Saccharomyces cerevisiae S288C: one gene and its partners. The gene in region 1 interacts genetically with each later gene. Each region holds a gene or a part of one and is shown on either strand. Other genes may lie near its edges.

The links.
Region 2: mutations in PYP1 (region 1) and YOR1 together harm fitness more than expected from each alone (negative genetic interaction), as found in Saccharomyces cerevisiae (2 studies listed by BioGRID).
Region 3: mutations in PYP1 (region 1) and ECM2 together harm fitness more than expected from each alone (negative genetic interaction), as found in Saccharomyces cerevisiae (2 studies listed by BioGRID).
Region 4: mutations in PYP1 (region 1) and PFK2 together harm fitness more than expected from each alone (negative genetic interaction), as found in Saccharomyces cerevisiae (2 studies listed by BioGRID).

What each region holds. Positions count from the first base shown.
Region 1 is NC_001146.8:610,427-615,407, forward strand, and holds PYP1 (putative phosphoric monoester hydrolase), read left to right. Parts: upstream 1-3,208; coding exon 3,209-3,934; downstream 3,935-4,981. Other genes in the region: SPO1 (putative carboxylic ester hydrolase), read left to right, coding at 1-1,239; YNL011C (uncharacterized protein), read right to left, coding at 1,410-2,744; isocitrate dehydrogenase (NADP(+)) IDP3, read left to right, coding at 4,395-4,981. UniProt on the Saccharomyces cerevisiae protein: Hydrolyzes sugar alcohol (polyol) phosphates. Dephosphorylates a variety of substrates, including: sn-glycerol 1-phosphate (D-glycerol 3-phosphate), D-ribitol 5-phosphate, D-sorbitol 6-phosphate (D-glucitol 6-phosphate), and D-erythrose 4-phosphate.
Region 2 is NC_001139.9:1,050,177-1,058,699, reverse strand, and holds YOR1 (ATP-binding cassette transporter YOR1), read right to left. Parts: upstream 5,877-8,523; coding exon 1,443-5,876; downstream 1-1,442. Other genes in the region: BGL2 (glucan 1,3-beta-glucosidase), read left to right, coding at 1-917; PXR1 (telomerase inhibitor), read left to right, coding at 6,975-7,790. UniProt on the Saccharomyces cerevisiae protein: Functions as a pleiotropic drug pump at the plasma membrane to clear toxic substances from the cytosol. Organic anion transporter involved in the detoxification of a wide range of toxic environmental organic anions that contain carboxyl groups.
Region 3 is NC_001134.8:366,826-372,197, reverse strand, and holds ECM2 (Pre-mRNA-splicing factor ECM2), read left to right. Parts: upstream 1-2,519; coding exon 2,520-3,614; downstream 3,615-5,372. Other genes in the region: TIP1 (putative lipase), read left to right, coding at 1-95; NRG2 (Nrg2p), read left to right, coding at 1,499-2,161; CNM1 (Cnm1p), read left to right, coding at 4,014-5,228. UniProt on the Saccharomyces cerevisiae protein: Involved in pre-mRNA splicing. Facilitates the cooperative formation of U2/U6 helix II in association with stem II in the spliceosome. Binds to RNA.
Region 4 is NC_001145.3:670,043-676,429, forward strand, and holds PFK2 (6-phosphofructokinase subunit beta), read right to left. Parts: upstream 4,725-6,387; coding exon 1,845-4,724; downstream 1-1,844. Other genes in the region: INP1 (Inp1p), read right to left, coding at 21-1,283; YMR206W (uncharacterized protein), read left to right, coding at 5,854-6,387. UniProt on the Saccharomyces cerevisiae protein: Catalyzes the phosphorylation of D-fructose 6-phosphate to fructose 1,6-bisphosphate by ATP, the first committing step of glycolysis.

The DNA of each region.
Region 1 (4,981 bases):
TTGAATCCATTAGCAAGACTAAAAAAAATATTCTTTCCTAACAACACTTTCACTGGAACTGATGCGAAGATTGAAACCTTTAAAAAAGTGCTAGACTTTTACAAAAGTTTGCATTTGAAAATTAAGCCTAAAAAAATGGAGGGTTTCCAAATATCGTTCACCGATTATTGGGGTAAAGCAATCGTTCAAAGACTAAAAAAAAATTTCGATGACGATCCCAACCATTCCTTTTCGTTTTCGAAGCTTGTAAACTCGTCTAAAAAATTTAAGGAATGCAGTGTGCCGATCCCAATATTCGTTGCAAATTGCAAAAATGGACTTCTTTCAAACGTTATATTTGAATTTACGCCCTTTGAATTTGGATCTTGGGAAAATATCCTCAGACTTTTCGTCAAGTTGCCCTATTTGGGCTCAAAAATTGTTTCTGGAAAGGCCGAGAAGTGTATTAATAACTTTGATGATCTAGGTTTTATTACTGCGACGTCTTCTTCAATATTCAACAATGTGCTCATCTTCATCTGGAATTTGGCTTCTCAGTCCTCCAGAGAAGCAATGAAAGCTTTGAATATGGTTATGGGAATTTTTGGCCTAGGTAAAGAGGAAATATTTAGTATTTCGAAAGACTCCTCGAGATTAGAGACAGACTATGCCGTATATCAACCCAATCCCTTTTATCTTTATCCTGAAAAAGACAATGTCCTAACTAACAAAAATCATTTATACCTTGTAGACGGCGGAGAAGACGGCGAGAATATTCCACTCAGAACATTGGTGATTCCTGAAAGGGAACTAGATGTAATTTTTGTTCTGGATTCTAGTTCGGATATTGACAACTATCCAAACGGCTCCAAGTTAAAAAGGATATTCGAAAAATTAGATGAAGAGAACGTTCATTACCAATTTCCGAACAATGTAAAAACATTCACTCACCCCATTGTTATAGGATGCAATGCTACCAAAAGAACTGGACATGATTCATTTTTGCCAATTATAATTTATCATGCCAATGCGAATCATGGAAACGCATCTAATACGTCGACATTCAAAATAACTTACAATCAGTCTGAAGTTAGCAGTATGTTACCCACTGGAAGGGGAGTGTTTAGCAATGATTATGACCTTTATTATAAAAATTGCTTAGGCTGTATATTAACCAAAAGAACAATGGACAGGCTCCCAAGAAAAAAGAAATTTTCGCCATTTTGCTTACAATGCTTTAAAGACTACTGTTACTCATAAGAGAGTAGACTTTTTCTGTGAAATTTAATGAGTTTTTGTTCACCTTTTTTACTTTTCTTCTATGCCATATGGTTAAATAAAACATGGTTCAAACGCGATTCTTTTTTATTATCTATGTCTTTATTATGTAGTCTTCACTATAATAACCGTTAATGAGCGACATAGTTGCATCAGTTTTTAAGGCCAATTTGATTCAGAACCTTTTCAAGTTCTTCACTTTCCATCTTATCCGAAGACGCGATCTGGTGGCATCTAATACTATGCTTCTCGAATATCGTTTCATCAATTTCAATTTCACCATTTTTTAGGTAAACAATATCAGTAATAAAATCTTGCCATTCAAAGTCATCATTCTCTGAATGGACACCCTTAGATTGCCTATAGCCTGCTATTGCCCTACTCATAGAATCTATGATCATTTGAACGTAGTGTAAACCGTCTAAACCAAAAACCTCTCTATCATATTTATTATTTATGAGCAAAACTTTTTTCGTATTATTAGATTCCAAAATTACTTCAGCAAGATTACCAAGAATAAGGATTGGGAGTAAACTTGTCATTAAAGAACCGATAGAATAAACGACCATGTCAGCTTTTTTCACCTTGGAAATAGCTCTTGGATTTCCCATTGGTTTTATCTCTTCGCCATATGGGTTTATATACAATATCCTATGTACCGGAGCAGGTAGATTCTGTGATTCATCAAGCTTGTCAAAATGCAACTGGGAGTTTTTCAGTTCTGGAAGAATATAGATAGGATTGGCATACTCCTCTTCCGCTTCTTCTTCCTCATCGTCGAGGAGAATTTTCAAATGGTCGTCATAAGAGCCAAGTAAATGAATAAATTTAGCTGAATGTGCTATGCTATTATCTTTAGGAACAGATTTCGAGGGATGCGATATTTGTGATTGGCCAGTTATCATCTCACCATTCGTCAACAAAGCCGAGATATGATGTGTGTGATTGGTATTTATACATGGAATAACATGAACTAGAGGACTGCACCTTCCTATCCTCATCATTAGTTCAATAGATGCGTCTAGAGAACCTAAAAACAATCTAGCACCAGTTAAGAAAAAATTTCCAATGGATGCACTCTCAAACTGAAATGGATTCGAGTGTTTGATTTTTTTCAAGAGTTCTGCTTGCATATGGATAATAAAAGAACGACACATTTCCTTAACTTCTATCGAAATATTTTTCCATATGGGATGCGAACCTTCCACTATTTCATTCCATTCTTTCTTAGCTAATAACTTATCATTAGGTAGCCTATGGCCAAACAACTCGACAAGCTGTTCATCTTGAAGTAGTCTCACTATTCTAGATCTGATATCACCAATTGCTGGGCCACCAACTATTCGTAGAATTTCACTTGTGGACCCGCCATTATCTGATATTGGCAATATATACGTCAGCTCATGTCCTTTTAAGATAGAAATATTAGAAAAGCAAGGAGTCAATGAATTTGTGGCAGTCCCACCGGAGCACACAACGACGTTCATCTAGTAAACTATCTCACCACACTCTGCTATTTTGTCCCCTTATTACCTCGAGGGAACAAAAGATTCCGTTTCCTCTCTTTCATAGTCCGCCTAAATAGCTTAAGAAATAAACCCAAACATCACACATTAGCGTTCTTTAGGAAATACGAAACAGGTTAATACAACAGTAGTAACTTTCCACATAATATCTAAGCATTACACGCTGAAAAAAACTCTTTATTGGATATCAACAACCCAACACATTGTACGACATATTCTTTTATCGTTCTACTATGGTACCCTGTTCAAATCTCTTTTTCTAAAATGAGCGAAATTTTCGAAAATTATCGCATAATTTTTCATCATCTTAAATTAAAAAAATACAGTGTCCTCTATTGTTTATCTCAACAGAACGCACACATTCTTGAAACTTGCTCACATAACATAAGCTGGAGTGACATAGCATTTATATATATACAAGGGAAATGGTCAAAGCTGTTATTTTTACCGATTTCGACGGTACCGTTACTTTGGAAGATTCTAACGATTATCTGACCGATACTTTAGGTTTCGGTAAGGAAAAAAGATTAAAGGTCTTCGAAGGCGTGTTAGATGATACTAAGTCTTTTAGGCAAGGTTTCATGGAAATGCTGGAATCCATCCACACCCCTTTCCCTGAGTGTATCAAGATCTTAGAAAAGAAAATTCGATTGGATCCTGGTTTCAAGGATACATTCGAATGGGCTCAAGAAAATGATGTCCCTGTCATCGTTGTTTCCAGCGGAATGAAACCAATTATCAAGGTTTTATTGACCAGATTAGTTGGACAAGAGTCTATTCACAAAATTGACATTGTTTCCAATGAAGTGGAAATCGATGCACATGATCAATGGAAAATCATCTATAAGGATGAAAGTCCCTTCGGACATGACAAATCCAGAAGTATCGATGCTTATAAAAAGAAATTTGAATCTACCTTGAAAGCAGGTGAACAAAGACCCGTTTACTTTTACTGTGGTGACGGTGTTTCTGATCTAAGTGCTGCAAAAGAATGTGATTTGCTATTTGCCAAAAGAGGTAAAGATTTGGTCACTTATTGTAAAAAACAAAACGTCCCATTCCATGAATTCGATACCTTCAAAGACATCTTGGCTAGCATGAAACAAGTTCTGGCTGGTGAAAAGACAGTCGCTGAATTGATGGAAAATTAGTGCAAGACTCTTACGAAATATTAAAGTTTAATACCGTGTAACTGCCTCTTACATATGTATGCATATATACGTACGTACTATATTTTTCTTGTATATCTTTTTTATTGTCTGAGAGAAAGAACATCAAAAAATAAAGGAAGATCCTCCTCGGATTTAGCATGCTTAATGCCGAATCTTTAATACAAAACGAATGATATTTCAAGTATACTAATTAGAAATCAATCAAACATACCAAAAGGGACAGTAAAGAGAAAAGCAGGAGCTCTCTTTTAGGGGAAAAGTAAAATGTGATTAGTATTTCGTTGCGTGTACTAGTCAACTCTTCTTGTCATTCTTAAATTTACATTAATTACCCCAATTTTGCATCTTCGTATATAAGAGTGTTCCCCTTATAAGCTTTCTCCTGCACATACCTGCAGTAAACACAAGCAACACTTTAGAGATAGTTGTCCAAGTTAAAATGAGTAAAATTAAAGTTGTTCATCCCATCGTGGAAATGGACGGTGATGAGCAGACAAGAGTTATTTGGAAACTTATCAAAGAAAAATTGATATTGCCATATTTAGATGTGGATTTAAAATACTATGACCTTTCAATCCAAGAGCGTGATAGGACTAATGATCAAGTAACAAAGGATTCTTCTTATGCTACCCTAAAATATGGGGTTGCTGTCAAATGTGCCACTATAACACCCGATGAGGCAAGAATGAAAGAATTTAACCTTAAAGAAATGTGGAAATCTCCAAATGGAACAATCAGAAACATCCTAGGTGGAACTGTATTTAGAGAACCCATCATTATTCCAAAAATACCTCGTCTAGTCCCTCACTGGGAGAAACCTATAATTATAGGCCGTCATGCTTTTGGTGACCAATATAGGGCTACTGACATCAAGATTAAAAAAGCAGGCAAACTAAGGTTACAGTTTAGCTCAGATGACGGTAAAGAAAACATCGATTTAAAGGTTTATGAATTTCCTAAAAGTGGTGGGATCGCAATGGCAATGTTTAATACAAATGATTCCATTAAAGGGTTCGCAAAGGCATC
Region 2 (8,523 bases), on another chromosome or scaffold:
CTGCAGCTACTGCGCTATTTTTCACAGCCTCCCAAGTTTCAGCTATTGGTGAACTAGCCTTTAACTTGGGTGTCAAGAACAACGATGGTACTTGTAAGTCCACTTCCGACTATGAAACCGAATTACAAGCTTTGAAGAGCTACACTTCCACCGTCAAAGTTTACGCTGCCTCAGATTGTAACACTTTGCAAAACTTAGGTCCTGCTGCTGAAGCTGAGGGATTTACTATCTTTGTCGGTGTTTGGCCAACAGACGACAGTCATTACGCTGCTGAAAAGGCTGCTTTGCAAACCTATTTGCCAAAAATTAAAGAATCCACTGTTGCTGGTTTCTTGGTTGGTTCTGAAGCCTTATACCGTAACGATTTGACTGCCTCTCAATTATCAGACAAAATTAATGACGTCCGTAGTGTCGTTGCTGACATTTCCGATTCTGACGGAAAGTCATACTCTGGTAAGCAAGTCGGTACTGTCGATTCCTGGAATGTTTTGGTTGCTGGTTACAATTCTGCCGTTATCGAAGCTTCCGATTTTGTTATGGCTAACGCGTTCTCCTACTGGCAAGGTCAAACCATGCAAAATGCCTCTTACTCATTCTTTGATGATATTATGCAAGCTCTACAGGTTATCCAATCTACTAAAGGTTCTACCGATATTACCTTCTGGGTTGGTGAGACCGGTTGGCCAACTGATGGTACCAACTTTGAAAGTTCTTACCCATCTGTTGACAACGCCAAACAATTCTGGAAAGAAGGTATCTGTTCCATGAGAGCTTGGGGTGTTAACGTTATTGTTTTTGAAGCCTTTGATGAAGATTGGAAGCCAAACACCTCTGGTACCTCTGATGTCGAGAAGCACTGGGGTGTTTTCACTTCAAGTGACAATTTGAAATACTCCTTGGACTGTGACTTTTCATGAACGCTTTAAAAATACTCTTTAAACAAGAATGGCTTTTTCCTTCTGTTTAGGTGAGGAATAAGCAAAAAGTAACAAAAAAAAATGTTATCCCTTCTTTTCTTCCTTATTTAGGCTTTATTTTATCTTTCACTTCTTTTACGTATTTGAAATATCCTTCGGTTTTAGGATTTTCACTTCTAAGTTTTCTATTTTATGCCTTCCATTTTAAATTCGTATTTTGTGTATACTTTATTCAGTAAACAGACATCCCAATAAGTTCTTTGAATATCTTCTGAAAATGATGTATAAATATATATTTCTAGAATGAAAAAGGACCGAAGGCGTTGTCCAGTTTGCCTCATAAAAAATGAAATGTTCTTTTCGGAATTTTGAGTATACAATGTGGGTATGCAATTATATCTATCTATGGCACACATAACTTTTTCTGCAAGTCATAGTAGTGGGTTTTCTTTTCTAGTACTAATTTGTACCATCGGCAACATATAAATAAATAAAAGAGAAAAATCATGCAACAAATAATATAAATTAACTTCTGTTCTCGAAATCATTTTCCACAATACCAGATCTAGAACACATGCTTCTGAAAATACTATCTTCTTGACTAAACAACGTCCATGGTGTATCGAATTCTGCGACTTCACCCTTCTCTAAAACAAGAATACGATCATAATTTACAATGGTCTTCAGTCTGTGAGCAATACACAAAATTGTACAATCTCCAAATTCCTCAACAATACGTGTTTGGATTTTGCCATCCGTTTCGTAGTCCACTGAGGATGTAGCCTCATCCAAAATCAATATTTTTGATTGGCGGACCAATGCCCTTGTTAATGCTAATAGTTGTCTCTCACCTAAGGAGAAATTGGAGCCCTCTTCTTCCACTGCTTGATCTAAATGGAACTTATGCATTTTACCATGAGTACCATTTTCATCAGGTTTTTGCAATTTCACTTCCGGCAAGTCATCCTTGGCGATAGCACCACCTCTCACCAATGCATCCCATAATTCGTCATCTGTACGCTCATTAAATGGATCTAAGTTCTTGCGAATCGTACCCCTAAATAATACTGGATCTTGTGGAATGATGGCTAATTTTCTTCTTAAATCGAAAAGTCCCAGCTGACTTATATCAACATTGTCAATTAAAATTTTACCTGCGGTCAATTCATTCAACCTGTAAAGGGCACTCATAATAGTGGACTTACCAGCACCTGTACGACCACAGATACCAATTTTTTCCCCACTCTTGATATTCAAGTTAAGATTTTTTAAAACTATAGGTAAACCAGGTCTATAGGCAAAATCAACATTTTCAAAAATTATTTCGCCCATTGAGGGCCATGACTCTGGAGGTGTCATTTCGGGCTTTCTATAGGATGCCTCTAGTGGTAGTTCAGTTGCATATGTTACCAATCTTTCGGCACTATTCATGTCATTCTCTGTTTGAGTCATTGCCCTTAAAATGGTATTTAATAGACCAGGCAATTGTAATACATAAGTCAACAAAACACCAACTGAAGCCGCGGAAATAGGAAAGGCTCTCGTAACACACAATAACGTAATAATTAGTGCAAATGCGATAGCAACCATATCAAGGAAAATACCTACCCATCTTTGCAGGACAACTACAAGGTATCCCGCCTCATTCATCTTGTTGATCAAAAAATCTGATTTCGCCAAAAATCGTTCCTGACTTCGGTATGCTTTGATTGTATCCATCCCACCCAAAACTTCATTTAAATTATTGTAAACAAAAGACCGTTGCACAGCTTCAAGTCTTTTAATTTCTCTACCAGAACTCTGATAATGATCAGCAATCAGAACAAAGATGACCAAAAGAAACGGAATTGCGATAGCAAACCACGGCAAGTAAACAATACACATGACGCAAACACCTACAATATTAGCAAATTGAGATGTCATCAACCGTAAACTTTCGGTTAACTCATTATCTAAGCTATCTGTATCTTTTGTGAATCTGTTCAGAATACGTCCCAAAGGTGTGGTATCTATGTATGACATTGGAGTGTGTAAAATTCTTTTCACAGCCCTCAAATTTAACCATTTCGATGCCATAATACCCATTGCGCAAAGTATGGTGAACTGGCCATTCATGAATATGAAAGCAGCAAACACAAAGAAGGAGTAAAGACCCATATAAAAACTGGGTGGTCTGTTTTTGAATTTATTCTCAGTCCAGTAAGATAACCAAACGGAAGAAAAAAGTGAGCAGAATGTGGTTCCAACGACTAAAATTGCATACAACGGTAGTGCGATAAAACCCCACTTACCTACTGCAGCTTTAATGTATTCACGGTATATTTTCAGACTGATACTATTGACTGCTCTTTCTTCTTTACTACTAGTATGACCATCCGCTACAATTTTACCACTATTTGCAGTTTGTGACATTTCTGTAGCCTTTTTCTTCAGTTCAGTCAATTCCTTTACCTCTGATTCATATTTTAGTTGTCCCAATTCACCGGCAACAACCGCTTCCTGTTCTTCATCCTCTTTCTCCGAATTTTGAGAAGAGAATTGTAAAAGATTTATCAAAGTTTGATTACGAGCTTTTAGCTCATCAACAGTACCAATATCGACTTGGCCATCAGTACCTAAAACGATGACTCTAGAAGCTCTCTCAATCAGTGACAATTGATGCGTTGCTAAAATTCTGGTTTTATTAGCAAGCATTCCGGTTAGACATTCATCCATGATGTGTTTACCAACACGAGAATCGACAGCACTTAGGACATCGTCGAATAGATAAATATCCTTCTTCTTATAAACAGACCTGGCTAAATTGATACGTGCCTTTTGACCACCAGATAAAGTAATACCACGTTCCCCAATTTCGGTCATATCGCCTGCCGGTAAAATATCCAGATCAGCTTTCAAAGAGCAAACACGAACTACTTCATCATACTTTTCTTTATTGAATGGTGAACCGAATATGATGTTATCTCTTACAGATGCATTTTGAATCCATGGATAACCACACATTAATAAGTCCCCGTTGACTTCAACCTTACCATCAGTTTTTCTCATTGATCCTGCCATCGCATTCAATAATGAAGATTTACCAGTACCAATAGGTCCCGTAATCATAATAAATTCGCCCTTTTTAATATCGAAGTTCAAGTCCTTGAAACCCCTAAACGAAGTTTTTTCTAAATCTTCCGGGCCGTCTCTGTCTTTCAACATATTGTCCAATCTTTTCGCCTTATTAGTACTTGCAGATGGCTTACCCCATGTATCCTTACGCTTTTTTTTGTTCTTTTTACCTTCATCTTTAGCTTCTCCTTTTGCTTCTTCAATAGCGTCGTTTAATTCATAATCTTCCCACTCAAATGAGCAATGTGTCATTTTTAAAGCCAATTTTGGATCAAAGCCAGGAGAAGGCTTCATTTCAATCATCTGATTTGGATCATCTTCTGGAGCCTCCAATAAGCTTTGCAAACGGCCCAATCCAATGATCATGTCAATTCCAGTACCAATAGCAATAGGTAAGAAAAACATTTGCAAACTCAAGACCTGAAATAAAGATAAAGAGGCAAAAATATTACCAGGTTGCCTGCCTCCTTTATTAACTTTGTACATTGCAAGGAAAGTGACCAATGAAGCAATACTAGGCAAAGACATGGCCATAGCAATCAAGAAATTTCTTGATAGTTGCATTTTTCTAACTTTAGAAATCTCTTTGGTCCTAATATCTTGAATATTTTTTTCATACGCATCCTCCCACGTATAATATTTAATCATTTTTATATTATTCAGCACTTCTCTCATCATGGTAACTCTAGCATCAGTGAAGATGTTCGCAGCAATTCTAAAGCCCAGAATTAACTTAAATGCAAATAAGGATATGAAAAACCCACCGAAAAAAATACCAATCCCAACTAAGGCAATGGGTCCAAGGTTAACGATCAATAAAACAATGCAAATAGCCAAAATTGCAGGGAACCCAGCCAAAAACGGCTGAAAAGATAAGGCAAATTCAATTCTAGCGAGATCTGTTGTTACAAAAGAAGTCACTTTACCGTTAGGAAAACAATGTCTCGCATAATTAGATGCATTAAACATTTTCTTCATGGCAGCTTTAGTAAGAATAGACTTAGCTTGCACACCAGTCAGTTGGGATGTATGAAAGAAATGGTTGAACGTCAACCCGTTAACGAACATCATCAAACATGCACCAATAGCGTAACCAATACCTTTGTTAACATGCATGCTATGAAAAATAGCCTTTTCTTCGACAAACTCAATTAGCCTCTTGGTAATCATGGGGTTAAAACCGGATGTACAATTAGCGAGAATTGCAAACACTATCGACATGAAGTACTGTTTCTTAAAAGTGAATAATAAAGCTCTCAGAACTGTATGTTTAGGTAGTTTGGCATTTTCCATAACCTCTTCTTCTGTCGCTTCTGGATGTCTTTTACGGTATTTTTTCCTCGTCTTCTCAAAATAGTAAATCATGTTTTTTTCAAAGTCGTCATAAAGGGTCTCTATAGACATCCTCGGATCCATTTTGAAGAGATCGTTCGGCTGTATCGTTCTCTTATAACCAACTCGCAGGATGGGTAGAACCCACCAAAAAAACATGTTAGAGATAATATTTGTATGGAACAGAGGATATATCTTCCTCTCGTCATCGGTTTGTGGTACTTCTGGAATTTTCTTAGAGTGCAAGAATGAAAACAGACGTTTCTGAGGGAAAATATCAGATTCTGTCACTTTTTCGATATCATCGCTATTCAAGTAGGTTTGGGGCTTATTTCTGTCCACAATATATTCACCTGTAGGCAGCAAAGATTTGTCATCCCAAGAAGACGATGTGTCCTTATCAACATCTGTGCTTATGTCTGAAGAAGCAGATGCCTTGGGAGATAGTACCACGTTTTGACTTTTGTTTTCCAGCTCCGTCTCCGAAACTGCATCCCCCACGGTAATCGTCATATTCGTATATAGCAACGGCTTTACTCTTTTTGAATATAAAAACAGTAATATTAATCTTTTTCCTCGTTCGTGACACTACTCAGAGGGCACCTGTAAGGAGAAAAAGGTATGGAAATGCGTTCTTCCTGTTCTTGTATAGCGCAAAAAAAGATATACACGCGGAGAGCTGTTCTACCTCCGTATTTATACTAACTGGAACAAAAAATATTTCAGTGACACCTTCGCTAGCTACCTCTGACAGATGTGTAATAAATATATATATGTATGGTAATCATTTAAGGGACAGCAGATCTATTTGTAGGAAAAATATTGCCACTTTCTTACCTTGGCTTTTTTCATTTCCACGGGTGTTAAATCATGTCCGTCATATTCCCGGCAAAATTTCCGGCTATTTCCACGGAACCACGCGTTATCTTCATACAATAGCACATGCCAAAAATTACAACAAAAGCACAGAAGCAAAAGAAAAAAAATGTGCCATTTCCGCCTCGCGGTGGGGAGGAAAATAGAAGCGCTTATCGCAAGCATTTAGTAGAGAACCGTGGATAAAAACGCAGCAACTAAAGAAGGCGACTAATAAAAATTGAGTATGCCTCTCCTTAGCGTAAACAGTAACTGCGTGCTATAAGGTGGCACTAAACTTCCTTCTTCCCCTTTCTATCGGATTTGTGCAGCCAGGAGGGATACCAGTGACGGCTATAGCGGGAGAAAGACGGGCCCTCTCACAACCCTTTGCCCCTTGCGGTTAGTCATATAGATTTTGCTTGTGAAGAGAACTGGTCGGTTCAAAGATGCTTTCTTCAAAGTACTATAGCCTTGCCCACTCTCTTTCTCCCTTCTGATCTCTTGTATGCTGATTTTACTTTAATAAGTGAAGGTGATCAATCAGTCAACTAACAAATTAGCCGCCACTGCAAGGATATTTTCTCTGTCGTTGTTGTTTTCCTACAAATATAAACAACCGGGTAACAGTCAAAGAAAAAAAAAAAAAGAAAAGGAAAAAAAAAAAATATGAAAAATTTTGTTCTGAAAGAAGCGATGAGATGAGTACTCAATAGTAACATATAGGCAGCTTACACCATTAAACAAAGAAGCAGAATGGGTTTGGCAGCTACAAGAACCAAACAGCGGTTTGGTTTAGACCCCAGAAATACGGCATGGAGTAACGACACCTCGAGATTCGGGCACCAATTTCTAGAAAAGTTTGGATGGAAACCCGGTATGGGTCTGGGGTTATCCCCCATGAATTCGAACACTTCGCATATCAAAGTGTCAATTAAGGACGACAACGTTGGGCTCGGTGCTAAATTAAAACGTAAAGACAAAAAAGACGAGTTTGATAATGGTGAATGCGCAGGGTTGGATGTCTTCCAGCGAATTCTTGGTAGGCTGAACGGAAAGGAAAGCAAAATATCAGAGGAATTGGACACGCAGAGAAAGCAGAAGATTATTGACGGAAAATGGGGTATCCATTTTGTGAAGGGTGAAGTTTTAGCAAGCACGTGGGATCCAAAGACTCACAAGTTAAGAAATTACTCCAACGCGAAGAAACGAAAGAGGGAAGGAGACGATAGCGAAGATGAAGATGATGACGACAAAGAGGATAAAGACAGTGATAAAAAGAAGCACAAGAAGCACAAAAAGCATAAGAAAGACAAGAAAAAAGACAAGAAGGACAAAAAGGAGCATAAGAAACATAAAAAGGAAGAGAAGAGATTGAAGAAGGAAAAAAGGGCGGAAAAGACCAAAGAAACGAAAAAGACGTCAAAATTAAAATCTAGTGAATCTGCATCCAATATCCCCGATGCGGTAAACACAAGACTATCGGTGCGCTCCAAATGGATAAAACAAAAGAGGGCCGCGTTGATGGACTCCAAGGCACTGAATGAGATCTTTATGATAACAAACGACTAAACATTCCATTGCGTTTCATTGTGTGAGCAGCTGGCCAGTCTGCACACGCAGCAAGATATATAGAGTGGGGAAAAATTCTTCCCCGGTGCCAAAGAAAAAAGCAAATAAAAATGAAAAAAAAAAATGTGTGCCAGTACGACAGCATACCGCAACGAGTTTTTACATACATGATTAAACTAGTAAGTAATATTATAAGTATTTATTGAACTTATTGCGCCACGACTTCTGCCCCTGCAAAACCTTCAGCTTTATTAGGTGGGTTTGATGGAAGATAGTAGAGCAAGTGGAAAGCATAACATCGCTAACGTCTTCCACACCCTCCATAAAGCCGCTGCATGAATGATAAACGGGCTCAATTCGTATCAGTGTAACCAAATCCATCAATTAACGCCCAATCGAGCTCGTTAACTCCATTTTGGGAAAGAATCAAGATGCCTAGCCCGGCCTAATCGAGATGCATCCACAAACGACCCTGCACGGTCATTTCCCAGAGGGTTTTGTAATTTGTAGGCACCGCTTTTCGCGCGACACCCTGCTGCAATAGGATCTTCTCCCTAGAAACACGCGCAACGCACCTCTTTTCCCTTTTCGTTTAGCCTCTCCAAATGAGGAAAATAGGCACATGATTCCTTTTCACGCGCATTTTTTTCAGAAATTTTCTCTTGTGGTGTTGTTTCAAAAACGGCACCGTTGTTTTTGTTTTTTTTTTTCTGTTTTCTCCCATTCCTCGAGG
Region 3 (5,372 bases), on another chromosome or scaffold:
CAGTCGAAACTGCTTCCAATGCCGGTCAAAGAGTCAATGCAGGCGCTGCCTCTTTCGGTGCTGTTGTTGCAGGTGCAGCTGCTTTATTGTTATAAAAGGGAACCTTTTACAACAAATATTTGAAAAATTACCTCCATTATTATACCTTCTCTTTATGTAATTGTTAGTTCGAAAATTTTTTCTTCATTAATATAATCAACTTCTAAAACTTTCTAAAAACGTTCTCTTTTTCGAGATTAGTGCTTCTTCCCAATCCGTAAGAAATGTTTCCTTTCTTGACAATTGGCACCAGCTGGCTACTCGTTGCTCGAAAACTACTCTCTTTTATTTTTAATTTACGAACGATTATCTTTCGAAGGAACGACCAAACGAGCTAAATATGGGCATCGCCAACGTTAAAAAAATGGACCCTACCGAAGACGTTATTATGCCAAGGCGCAGCGAAGAGTCTTTCTCCTTGAGAAAAAATATGCATGAAACAAAATAGACAGGACCAGACCCTCTTCGGGAAAAAAAGTCAAGATTTAACACGTGGCTACACCGGCTGGCTTACAACCAACCAACATAAGATCAAACAACCCTCAAGTTTAGAAAATGCCTTAATAGCAACCTCTAAAACCATAGACTTCTCCATTTTCACGTGCTAAAAAAGTTCGGGTATGATGTCATACAAATCCTTTCAACAAAAGATGCTTCAAGATCAATGGCACTCGAGATCATAAATCCCTGCAGAGCAGCGGCTCTGCATATAGAATAACAAACAAATCGTATTTTTCCCGAAGCCAAGAAAAAAAGGAGACTATAACCTTTCAAGCCAGACGGAAAACTATCTGCCCAAGGACAAACTGGCATGGGCTGCTTCAATGTTCGGCTACCTTTTTTCTCTTTTAACGGGGTTTGGTATTTTTTTTCTTTACTTCATAAACGAATGTTAAACGACTGTGAAAAAGCCATCCCTGGATTATGCGAGAGTACTCTCAGGGCACCCGTCCGTTTAAAGACCCCAGGCCAAAATAAAAATTTCTTGAAGGAAAAAAATACACAGGGCCTTGAACTGAATACAAAGCCATCTTTTTTCTCGTTTGTCAGCACGTCCCAGAAAAACGCGCAGCCGTAGCTCTTGATAAGTGGCTTCTGCGTTTTGCAACGCTTTTCTGATCTCATGTTTTCTTATGCTGCGGGACATCATTGTCGTTGAGAAAAGTTTCAATTTCAAACGAACTGCCTACCGTTGCATTCTCCTTGGAGAAGGGCCTGAGTTTAGGGGAATCACGTCTGGCTATTACATGCTACATCGTGCAGTAGCTCCTACATCGCTAACAGGCAAATCCTACACCCTCTTTAAATCGTTTATCTTTTATATATTATCTGGCCTAAATTTTTACATATAAATATTTATCATATTATGACAGCTCAAATGAATTTCCGGCACCAAGTCATATGAGCACTCGCTACTGTTCGAAGAACAAAAAATATAAAGCTTCTACAAAATTTCCAGATGTCCATAGGTTACAAAGACAACTTGATGTCAACTATTCTAGCTAAAGATAGGAAATGTGAATTTCCCATCAATTTCGAATGTTCGCCCTCCCAGATAACTCTTATGCCTGAAATGTTCTCTTTTAACAATGAAAGGAAATACCAAACCCTGATACCCTTGATGAAAACATCACATCTAATTGATGATGACTTGAAAGATAAATTGAATAAGTGCGCTTTCGATTTTTTCTCCGGAAAACAAGCGAACAGAACGAGTGACGGGACTATTTCAAGATTAACAGCAAGTGGAAAAACGTCACCGATACTGCCATTGCAAAATATTAATATTGTAAAAGCAGAGAATACCGGTAACGGTAAATCAGATCCATATAGCTCAATTAAAATAAGCAAACCGACAAAAACCGTGATAAAATTGAAATCTACGAAAACCAATACAGCAGGACAGAGGACTCGTCATTTCTGTAAGATCTGCTCTACTGGGTTCACCACTTCTGGTCATCTTTCAAGACATAACAGAATCCATACAGGTGAAAAAAATCATATCTGTCCGCATGAGGGCTGTGGACAGAGGTTTAGTAGACATGATAACTGTAATCAGCATTATCGAACTCATGCAAACAAGAAGAAAAGAAACTGGAAGAGGAGGGAGGCTAGCAGTTGATGTGAGTGAGCTCAGCCAAAAACATTTAAATATTCAAATAACGTACAAATAAAAGACTGATAAATAGTAATAAAACTAAGCGGGTTAGTAATACTCACCAAGAACAATAGCAGGAACGATAGTCGGTTCTCTTTCGTAATTTTTTTAAGTCACAACCCGGAGGGACGTGAAGTTTCAAACCTTATTCATTCCGGGATTACCCTCTCCTGTGATGACGTTTAGGCAATAAGGACTAAAAAAAAAAAAAAGAAATGCTATGGCAAATTTTATTGATAGAAGTGGTAATGATGATGGAAGGGCTTTTGAGCAGGTGAATAGAAGGTAGCTAACGGAAAAGAGTTATTGCACCCTTAATATAATGAATGATGAAATTAATGAGCCACCGCCCAATATATGTGAGCAGTGCTTAGGTGATGAGGCTAATATACGAATGACTAAAATTCCACAAGGCTCTGAATGTAAGATTTGTACCTTACCGTTCACCTTATACCATTTTAAGACGTCTAAACGAAGCAATAATATCATTAAAACATTAATATGTGTACGGTGCGCCACTCAGAGAAACATTTGTCAATGCTGTATGCTTGATTCAAGATGGCACATCCCTATACAACTGCGGGATCATTTAATATCCCTTGTGAACGAGGAAAACGTTATGACGGAGGAAGCAAAAAACGACATGATGAAAAGGTTTCTGTCACTAAAAAACGTGAAATTAGGAGGAGCTCAGATTACGAGTGATCCGTCAGAAGCAGATAATATCGTTGATAAATTGAAAAATATACTTCTGCGAGCAACATCAGATGGCCCAAGTACTCCGTTAATAAAAAACACAACTGCATTGTATAAAAATGAAAAAGGTGCAAATGAGGTCAAAAACTTGGAAAAGTACGCGTCCGTGGACATTTCTCATATTTTGAAGAAACTACCCTTGAATGAATCGTTTTTAAAAAACCCCTCCACCAAATCATTTTTTCTGTATAATATTGATGCCTCGATCCCTGAATGGAAAATAACTGATACAGTTTCGCAATTATTGGGTATAAAGAAATGGAAGGATGGAAATTCATTGTCATTAATAGTCAACCACAAGGCGAAGTGTGGTGGCCTAAGATTTCAATCTAGTGAATTGGGGGAGCGGTTTGTCAGTAAAATAAGTGAGACACTTGTCACACCAAAGGGCCTAAAGAGAGGAGTTTTACTTATTGACCGTTTTAGAATCTTTATCATTCCGTGGTCGTCTGGCTTTTCAGCTGCGTCATTCGGAACCAACACTGCAGAAAATATAAAACTTAGTTTAAGTTTGAATAAGCTTATTCAGTTGGAGCTAGGGCTTTCTTTTCCTACAAAAAGCACAGATAACGCAAAGAATGACAAGAAAAAGACATCAAAAAAAGTTCATAAGGACAGATCAAAGAAATCGAAACCTCGCGCTAACAAGTTAACAATATAGATGAAACGTAAGAAAAATCATGGGTTGAAGAAACGAACTGTTTGATCAATTTCGACCATCCATCTACCTTGCAAGTAATAAACAAAAGCAGGTTGAGTGGGGAACTTTATCTAAGTTGATCAGTATATCTGACAAATTTATACGGAATGCTGCAGTTTGGATTAGCACGAACATTTTATCTGTACGGTTTGTCGCTTTTAGCTGCTCGGGCTCTTCCTCTCGGTTACCGAGATGATAACTCGGCCGAATTTTGTAAGTACAAATAAAAAGAAAGTGACACAATTCTAAAAGTATCACTATAATTTATTATTTTGAGAAAGATAAGGTTCCATAGGTACATGATATATTGACTGATTTCTGATAGCTCTTTTTTTTCCAATATCGATAAAAAACTAAAATATGGAGGAACTAGGTTTAAAAAGCACTTTTCCATATGAATATGGCTCAGACTTTACAATGATAAGAACGGAAATGTTAAATACTACGAAGAGCGAAACAACTATTTTATTTTCCAATATAAAGAGCATTTTGGCCATTATTTGGAAATACTCATTTACATTTTTAAGATCTTTTTCCGATTCCATCAAACTTATTATTGACGATGTTGTCACTATTGGCTCCCGAAATTTTGCAGAGAGATTACAGATTGAAGCGAAAAAAAACAATGACCAAGAAGATATCTGGGCATCCACAATAATTTTGGGTGTGATTATCGGGTATTTAATCTCTTCTATTAAGAGAAAGAACACTTTTCCAATAATGCCTACGAGCTCACCTAAAATAGATGATTGTAGGTTCAAGACTGGTGATACCATATCCATTGTAATAAACTTTAATGAAGACTGCCTCAATAATCGAAGTGACGTTACCGAAGAGAGAAATTATGAGGAATCCACAGTTTTACATTCAAAGGAGTCAGTTCTCAGCATTGGTAGGCAAAATATGGTAACTTTGAACCAAAGCGATGAAAATTTCACCTATGGCAATTTTGATGAGTACGACTTATTAACTAAAGATTATACAACAGAGGTCTTAACGCGATCACCTGGCTCGAATCCCGAGTTTAAAGCAGTGGTAAATAATACATTACTTGATAGCGCGAATGAAACGCCGTTTAAAGGTATTGAAAAAAGTATTAACGAAACAATGGTTAAAGTTCCTATGGGATGCGATGTATCTCTCTCCCATTATGGCAGACAATACGCGCCTGGAAATATTTCAATTATGAGAAGCTTCACTGCTCGAGATAATACTAAATCTGTGAGTAGAGAAATTCGTGATATCTGTAAATCGTTTTTGATTATAAAAAGCCAATTTGGTGACGAACTTTTCCTGACTATGTTCATGGAAAAACCAGTTTTCTTTGATAACAACATCCCAATTGAAATAACTGGAGCATACCGAGAAAAACGAGAGCGATTAGATGAAGTGATTCATAAGGATCTTATCCGCTATGATGAAGTTCAAAATTTGACAAGGATTCGCAATTTGCTCCGGGTTAAAAGTCAAAAGATTTGTTCCAGGAGACATAATAGTTCGGTTCCCACAAAAAAATTGTTAGTTAATGATAAAGGCGCAACTTCGATTCTACTGTGGTACTCTAACTATTCATAGATAAAGTTTATTTGATACATAATCCGGAAAATGTAAGATATGCCAACTGTTAACTAGAAAACATCTGTACTCTATATATCGGAAACAAAAACTTTACGGGTACAACCATGATGAATAAGCTCGAAATTTTTGCCTTCCATATGA
Region 4 (6,387 bases), on another chromosome or scaffold:
AGTTATGCTTTGAACTTCATTCAAAGGTCGCCAAGACCAGATATGGATCTCCTCTGAAATCTTCTATGCCTGTCCTGCAGATACGGGGGAGAGTCGATAAAAGGGTATGAACTATATCTTTTGTTTTGCTGTTTCGAATGAATACTTGGGGCTGCTATTGGAATATTCAGTACAGGAGCGGTTCGTCTGATAGCATTTTTGAAAGCTTCATTTATGGAGATTGACACGGCATCGGTAGGGTCGCTCGGATAGAGAAAGCTTGCATTTAGATTAGAGCAAGTGTTCGATATCACGGAGAAGCTATTATCTGTACATCCTTGTTCGTATTCTTCATCCAGCAAGTAATTAAGGTCGTCATCATCATAATTATCATCATCATCATCGTTATCATCATCATTATTAATTATTTCAGTATTGGGGGGCTCTATGTCCGAAGTAGGCGGCAGTTTGAATTTATCGCTCAAAGACTCATTATTCCCAATAGTAGCTCCTTCATTAATATGCGAAAATTGGCAAATTTTGCTAATGACGTTTTCAAAAGCTTTCACACTATTTTCCAACTCTGATTGGGATTGACTAATCAAAGGTAGAAATTCGATTTCCCAGTACCGTTCCGGATTATAAAAGCTAATAAAGTATTTGAAACCTGCGCCATTTAGCCTTGTTATTTGTAGTTTGGGTAGTACTGGATGCACAATATCACCATGTCGTCCTATCGATAAATAGTTTACTACATGCCCATCATGACTACTAGCTTTACTAGATTTTTGAAAGGGCGCTATATTTTCCTTTAACTTATCAAACCCTGTACATATCTGATATATTTCAATAGGTCCTTTTGCCATTAAAGATGTAGGTTTTAACTTAATAGTGTTTTGACTGTCTTGACTTTGCGTATCATTGAAGAATACTCCACTACTTTCAGTGACATTATTTGCGGATACTTGGGAATTTCTACGAATGCAACTGCTATTCGGAATATCATTATGAATGGGAACGAATGAATTCATAACCTGAACATTGCCATAGGTAAACAATGAAAATCTCTGAGTTGATATTCTTTTCCTTTGTGTTCCGGTTTTCTTCGAGGACGTGCCATTTTTTTTGGCTTTAACAGATTTATTTGTATCGTTTGAGTGTTGGGTCGAATCCTGTTTCAACTTTTTATTGTTGCTAAGTTTAAGTGACTGTTTTAAAGTTTGAAACGTAGATTGAGGTTTCTTTTCTTGTTTTGCCGTTAATCTCACGCTATTTTTCTTTGTTTCTCCCCTTGATAAAACCATACCACTTTGTTTAATTTCCTGAGAGTTATCAGACGAAAAATGTAGACCTTGTATCCTTCATAGGTGAAGGAATACTTCCTCCGTAATAAGGTAATTTAAAGTTCATAGTTCATTCACTCTTTTTGTTTACATCTCCGTTCTTCGTGATAAGTTCATAGATAATAAGAGAACAAAGTATTTAACGCACATGTATAAATATTGTATTAAAAGGGTACCTTTATAAATATGAGATCCGAGGGACGTTTATTGGAATTATCTTTTAAATCGTCTATATCACATATTCCAGTATACATAAGTTTTAATTTTAGAAAACGTTTAAATAAACAAAGAGAAAAAAAATAAGACACAAAAAATAACAGTATCTTTATTCTTGACATTCATAAAAATGCATGATAATATTGGTTTCATGGGGTAGTACTTGTATTATTAAAAGAAAGGAACAAAAAATTCATTGTTCAAAAGCTTAGAGATAAAAAAAAAGAATTATAGACACAAAAGAAAAACATGGGTTAACATTAATTGACATTAATAATAGAAAGTGTAATAAAAGGTCATTTTCTTTTAATCAACTCTCTTTCTTCCAACCAAATGGTCAGCAATGAGTCTGGTAGCTTGCCAGTGAATGACCTTTGGCATTCTCATGGAAACTTCAGTTTCATAGTCATACAATTGTCTAATGGAGTTGTAAACGACATGTGAACCCTTAACACCAACGACAGCAGCAGTGTCAGAAATGGTCTTGTCATCAGCGTTGAAGTTTTCTTCGGCAGCACGAGCTTCAGCAATGGCAGCTTGGTTGTCTTTGATGAAGCCGACAGCTTTAATGGCCATTCTAGTGGCTCTTGTTCTATCAATTGGAGATGGCAAACCACCTTGTTGTACATGACCTGGATAAGCTGGCTTAGCGTCAAATCTGCCATCGGCTTCAGCAGTAATAACTTCAGCCAATTTAGTGGCTGATAAAGCCTTAGAAGCGTTTGTACTCTTCAAAATCAATTTACCAAATCTACCTCTACCTTCTGCCTTTTCAAAAGATTGAGCTAAGTATTCAATATCCTCGGACAATTGCTCCAAAGAAATACCTTCTTCTGGGACATAAGAGACTTGAGCACCAACAGCCAAAGAAGCGTAAGTGGCCAAATAGCCTGAGTTACCACCTTGACAATCGACAACGAAGGCTCTACCTCTGGTTGAAGAAGCGGATTGTTTAACAACATCACAGTATTCCATTAGAGCATTCAAAGCGGTATCAGAACCCAAAGAGTATTCAGTACCTGGAACATTGTTAGACAAAGTAGCTGGTATCAAGACCATTGGGATTCTGAAAGCTGGATAACTTTCTCTTGCTCTCTCTAATTGATGTAAAGATTCAAAAGCTTCGAAACCACCAACGATGATCAAACCATCAAATTCGTACTTTTGGAAATAGTAAGCAATCATACCTAGATCTGCTTCTTCTGGAGTGACTCTGTTAGTACCGATTTCAGAACCACCACGGGATTGCCAACCCAACATATCCTTCCAGTTCAAAGAACGAACACTTTCATGTCTTGCCAAACCAGACCAACCATTGTAGATAGCGTATGGTCTGTGACCTTGGGACATACAGTAAGTAGCCATCGAGTAGACGGCAGAGTTGATACCACCAGCTGGAGCACCGACATTAACAATGGCAATCTTCAGTCTCTTGTCCTTTGGTAGCTTTGGTTCGTTGTGGTCAGCAGAGTTGATAGCCATGAAATTGTTTAAATGTTCAATGAACTCAGTGTCTCTTAAAGACATAGCTCTCTTGAAATCCTTAGCTTGAATGGCTTCTGCAACTGCTTTGGTCAACTTGACGGATTCCATTAATGGTTTACGAACAATTTTGTTTTCGTTAACAGCAATCAATGGTGATGGGGTGTCTGGAGTGGATTCCAAAACGGCATTAACGGCCTCAAGACCTTGTAAAGTAGCCAAGATACGGTCGTAAGCAACAGCAGTACCACCTCTTTGAACGTGACCTAAGGTAGTAATTCTTGTATCCAAACCTAATCTGTCAACTAGAACTTTGTGGACGTCGCTTGGAGAAATTGGGGTCAAGTCAGCAGCGATAGCACCTTCTGCAACAACAACAATGGTGGTTCTCTTACCCCTTGATCTGTGCTTGGAGACAATGTCACACATTTGATCTTGCCATTCGCTGGAAGTGGCTGGCTTCTCTGGAATAAAGATATAGTCAGCGGAAGTGGCGATACCAGCTAATAAAGCTAACCAACCACAGTTTCTACCCATAACTTCAACAACGAAAGCTCTTGAGTGAGAGTTGGCAGTGGCTTCAACGTAATCGATGGCCTTACAGATTCTGTCCAAGGCAGAGTAAGCACCAATAGTAGCATCCGTGGTGGACATATCGTTATCAATAGAACCGACAGTACCGCAAATATTCAAATGCTTCATTCTTTCGTATTGTTCGTTGGAAATTCTGTTTGTTTTCAACAATTCCTCGATCAAAGAAGGCCATTCTGATCTAAACAGATCAGCACCAGTCAAAGAACCGTCACCACCACAAACGATCAAAGCATCGACACCGGCCTCAATCAAATGTTGGGCACCCAATAATCTACCTTCGCGCTTCTTGAATTCCATACAACGGGCAGTACCAATGTTGGTACCACCTTCAGCAGACCAACCACGGACGTCTTCCCAGTGGAATTCCTTGATGTATTCTGGACCACCACGAACCAAACCTTCATAACCTTCCATGACAACAAAGGCACGACAACCTTTGAAGATAGCGGAACGCACGATGGCTCTAACGTTAGAGTTCATACCTGGAGCATCACCACCGGAAGTCATGACGGCAATTGCCTTTTGAGGCCTGTTCAATGGCTTTGGCAGAGATGGATAGGTGTCGGTGGTTTTCATACGGTAAGCCAAATCAGTGTAAGAGTGAACTTTAGAGGAAAGACCAGACTCAGCAGAAGCTTCTGGTGCTGGTGGTGGAGTTGGCTTGGTTGAAACTGCGTTCTTAGTAGAAGTAACACCAACAACGTTACCTAATGGGTCCAAAGTGTACAACTGCATTGGAAATAGTTCTGTTGGGTAGCCTTGAAGAGGAGCGTTCATAGCATTTAGAGTGTCCTTGACTGCCAAGATGTCGGAAGTGTTAAATACCAAGGATTGGGTGGCATGTGATCTCCAGTCTTGAGTCTTGGTAATACTGTTCAATTCCTTCAAATGAGCCTCAACATTTTTATTGATTTTTTCATCAGGACGTAGAAGGATCTTCAAAGAGATGGAATCGTTAGACAATAAAGTGGAGTTTTCATCTGGAGAAGAGCGGTTTTCTAATGACAAAAACTTGGTGTAAAAATCTATGGCAGCTTTATAAGATTGAACGGAATATGCAGTGACGGTACAATAAGAAGTACCATTCACAAAAGGAGTAGTAACAGTCATTGCGTATGGTTAGTTCTTGGCCAATGCTAAACTAGTCTCTAAATCTAGTTCTATTGTTCAAATGAGGTATAAGAAAGGCTTTTAAGCAAGAAGAAGGAAAAAAAAAAAAAAAAAGGAATTTTCTTCTTTATGAAACCGAAGATAAGAAGCTTTTAATCAAGGAAGTAATAAATAAAGGACAAAAAGAAGAAAAAAATATTATTGTTTTATAAAATGCAAGTAGGAAAAATAAGAATGAGAGCGGATAAAAAAAAGGCAGGAAAAAAAACAACAACATGAAGCGAGAGACTTCATTGCGATGTAATAAATGAATGGTAGATAAAGACCGGATGGAAAAAAAGGCCGATTTAACATGGCAAACAAAAGATTACATACGTACTGATCAAATTGATCAATTCAATATCTCTGTTTTCGTTTTTAACATTCAACTACCGTCATAGCGTTATACGTAGGAAAAAAAAACCGCAATCACGTAACCGTGGCTTCCACTAATCGGCTCTTGTGCCGTCAGATTCCGGATGTACGGGTGGACGCCATTTGGAACGAAAAAAAGAAATTGAAAAAAGTGGAAGCTAGAAATCACTGTCTTACCCTGGACGGTATCGTATATAATGACTCCGGTTTTTTTTTCTCTACCCCCTTGCCTCTTACCCCGGATTTTACCCAACTTTATCTTAATCTTCGTTTTCCTTTTAGCGTGGAGATGGTAAACGCTAGCGGTAACGTTAACGTTGCAAAGGGGGTATGCGGGACTGGCTGAAACGGGCGATGATACGATGCAACAAAGCAGCAGAGAATGGCTATGAATAGTCTTTACACCCACAGTTTTTCGTGTGGCAGTTACTATATATTAGTAGGATATTCGATCTATATAGATGGTAGTACTTACAATGCTGTTCTTGGGTTTTTGCGGATCTTCTTTCTTTTTTGTAGTTTTATTTTATGTCTTACTTCTTATTTCCTTCTTACTTCCTCATTGGTTAAGGCTCACGTTGATTGCAATAACAAAGAAGTATATACTGTAGCATAGCTCTTCATATCATTTTTGCCGTGCATTCGAAGACTATATATATATATGCATATTGTCTGACCTTTCGCCTTAAAGTAAAGAAGACAACAGAATATAACCATGCTGAGTAGCAGTAGCAATAGACCCATATCTGCCCATCTAACCATCCATTACAAGGCTATTCAGGAGGAAGAGGGGGAGGATATGAGAAGCGGTGCCGGAAGTGGTGGCCATCATGACGACTATTTTCTGGAGAGTAACAGATCTCCCACTCCTAATAAGAAACATGAGTTCATTAAAACGGTGCTCAATATCAACGATAACGACTCTGAATTTTCGGAATCGTGCTCACCAAGAGAGAAGTTACATAACGAGGGGGCTTGTAATACAGACCTGTTCGGGGACTTCATGTCTAAAAGACAACAGAGGCTGTCTAATTCTATGAACATTTACGACCTTTATCAGTGTGTACATAACCTGTCGCCTAGCAACAACAACCATCAGTTCATAGCAAGAAGGTTCAGCGATTCTCATATTCCCTCCTTGCATCACCGCCAGCAGCAACAGAAGGTAACAACAAAAAACTTTGTACAGCCCACGAAGGACATTCAAAGGATCGCCTCGTACGCTGCGGATTCAGACCAGAGAGTCAAG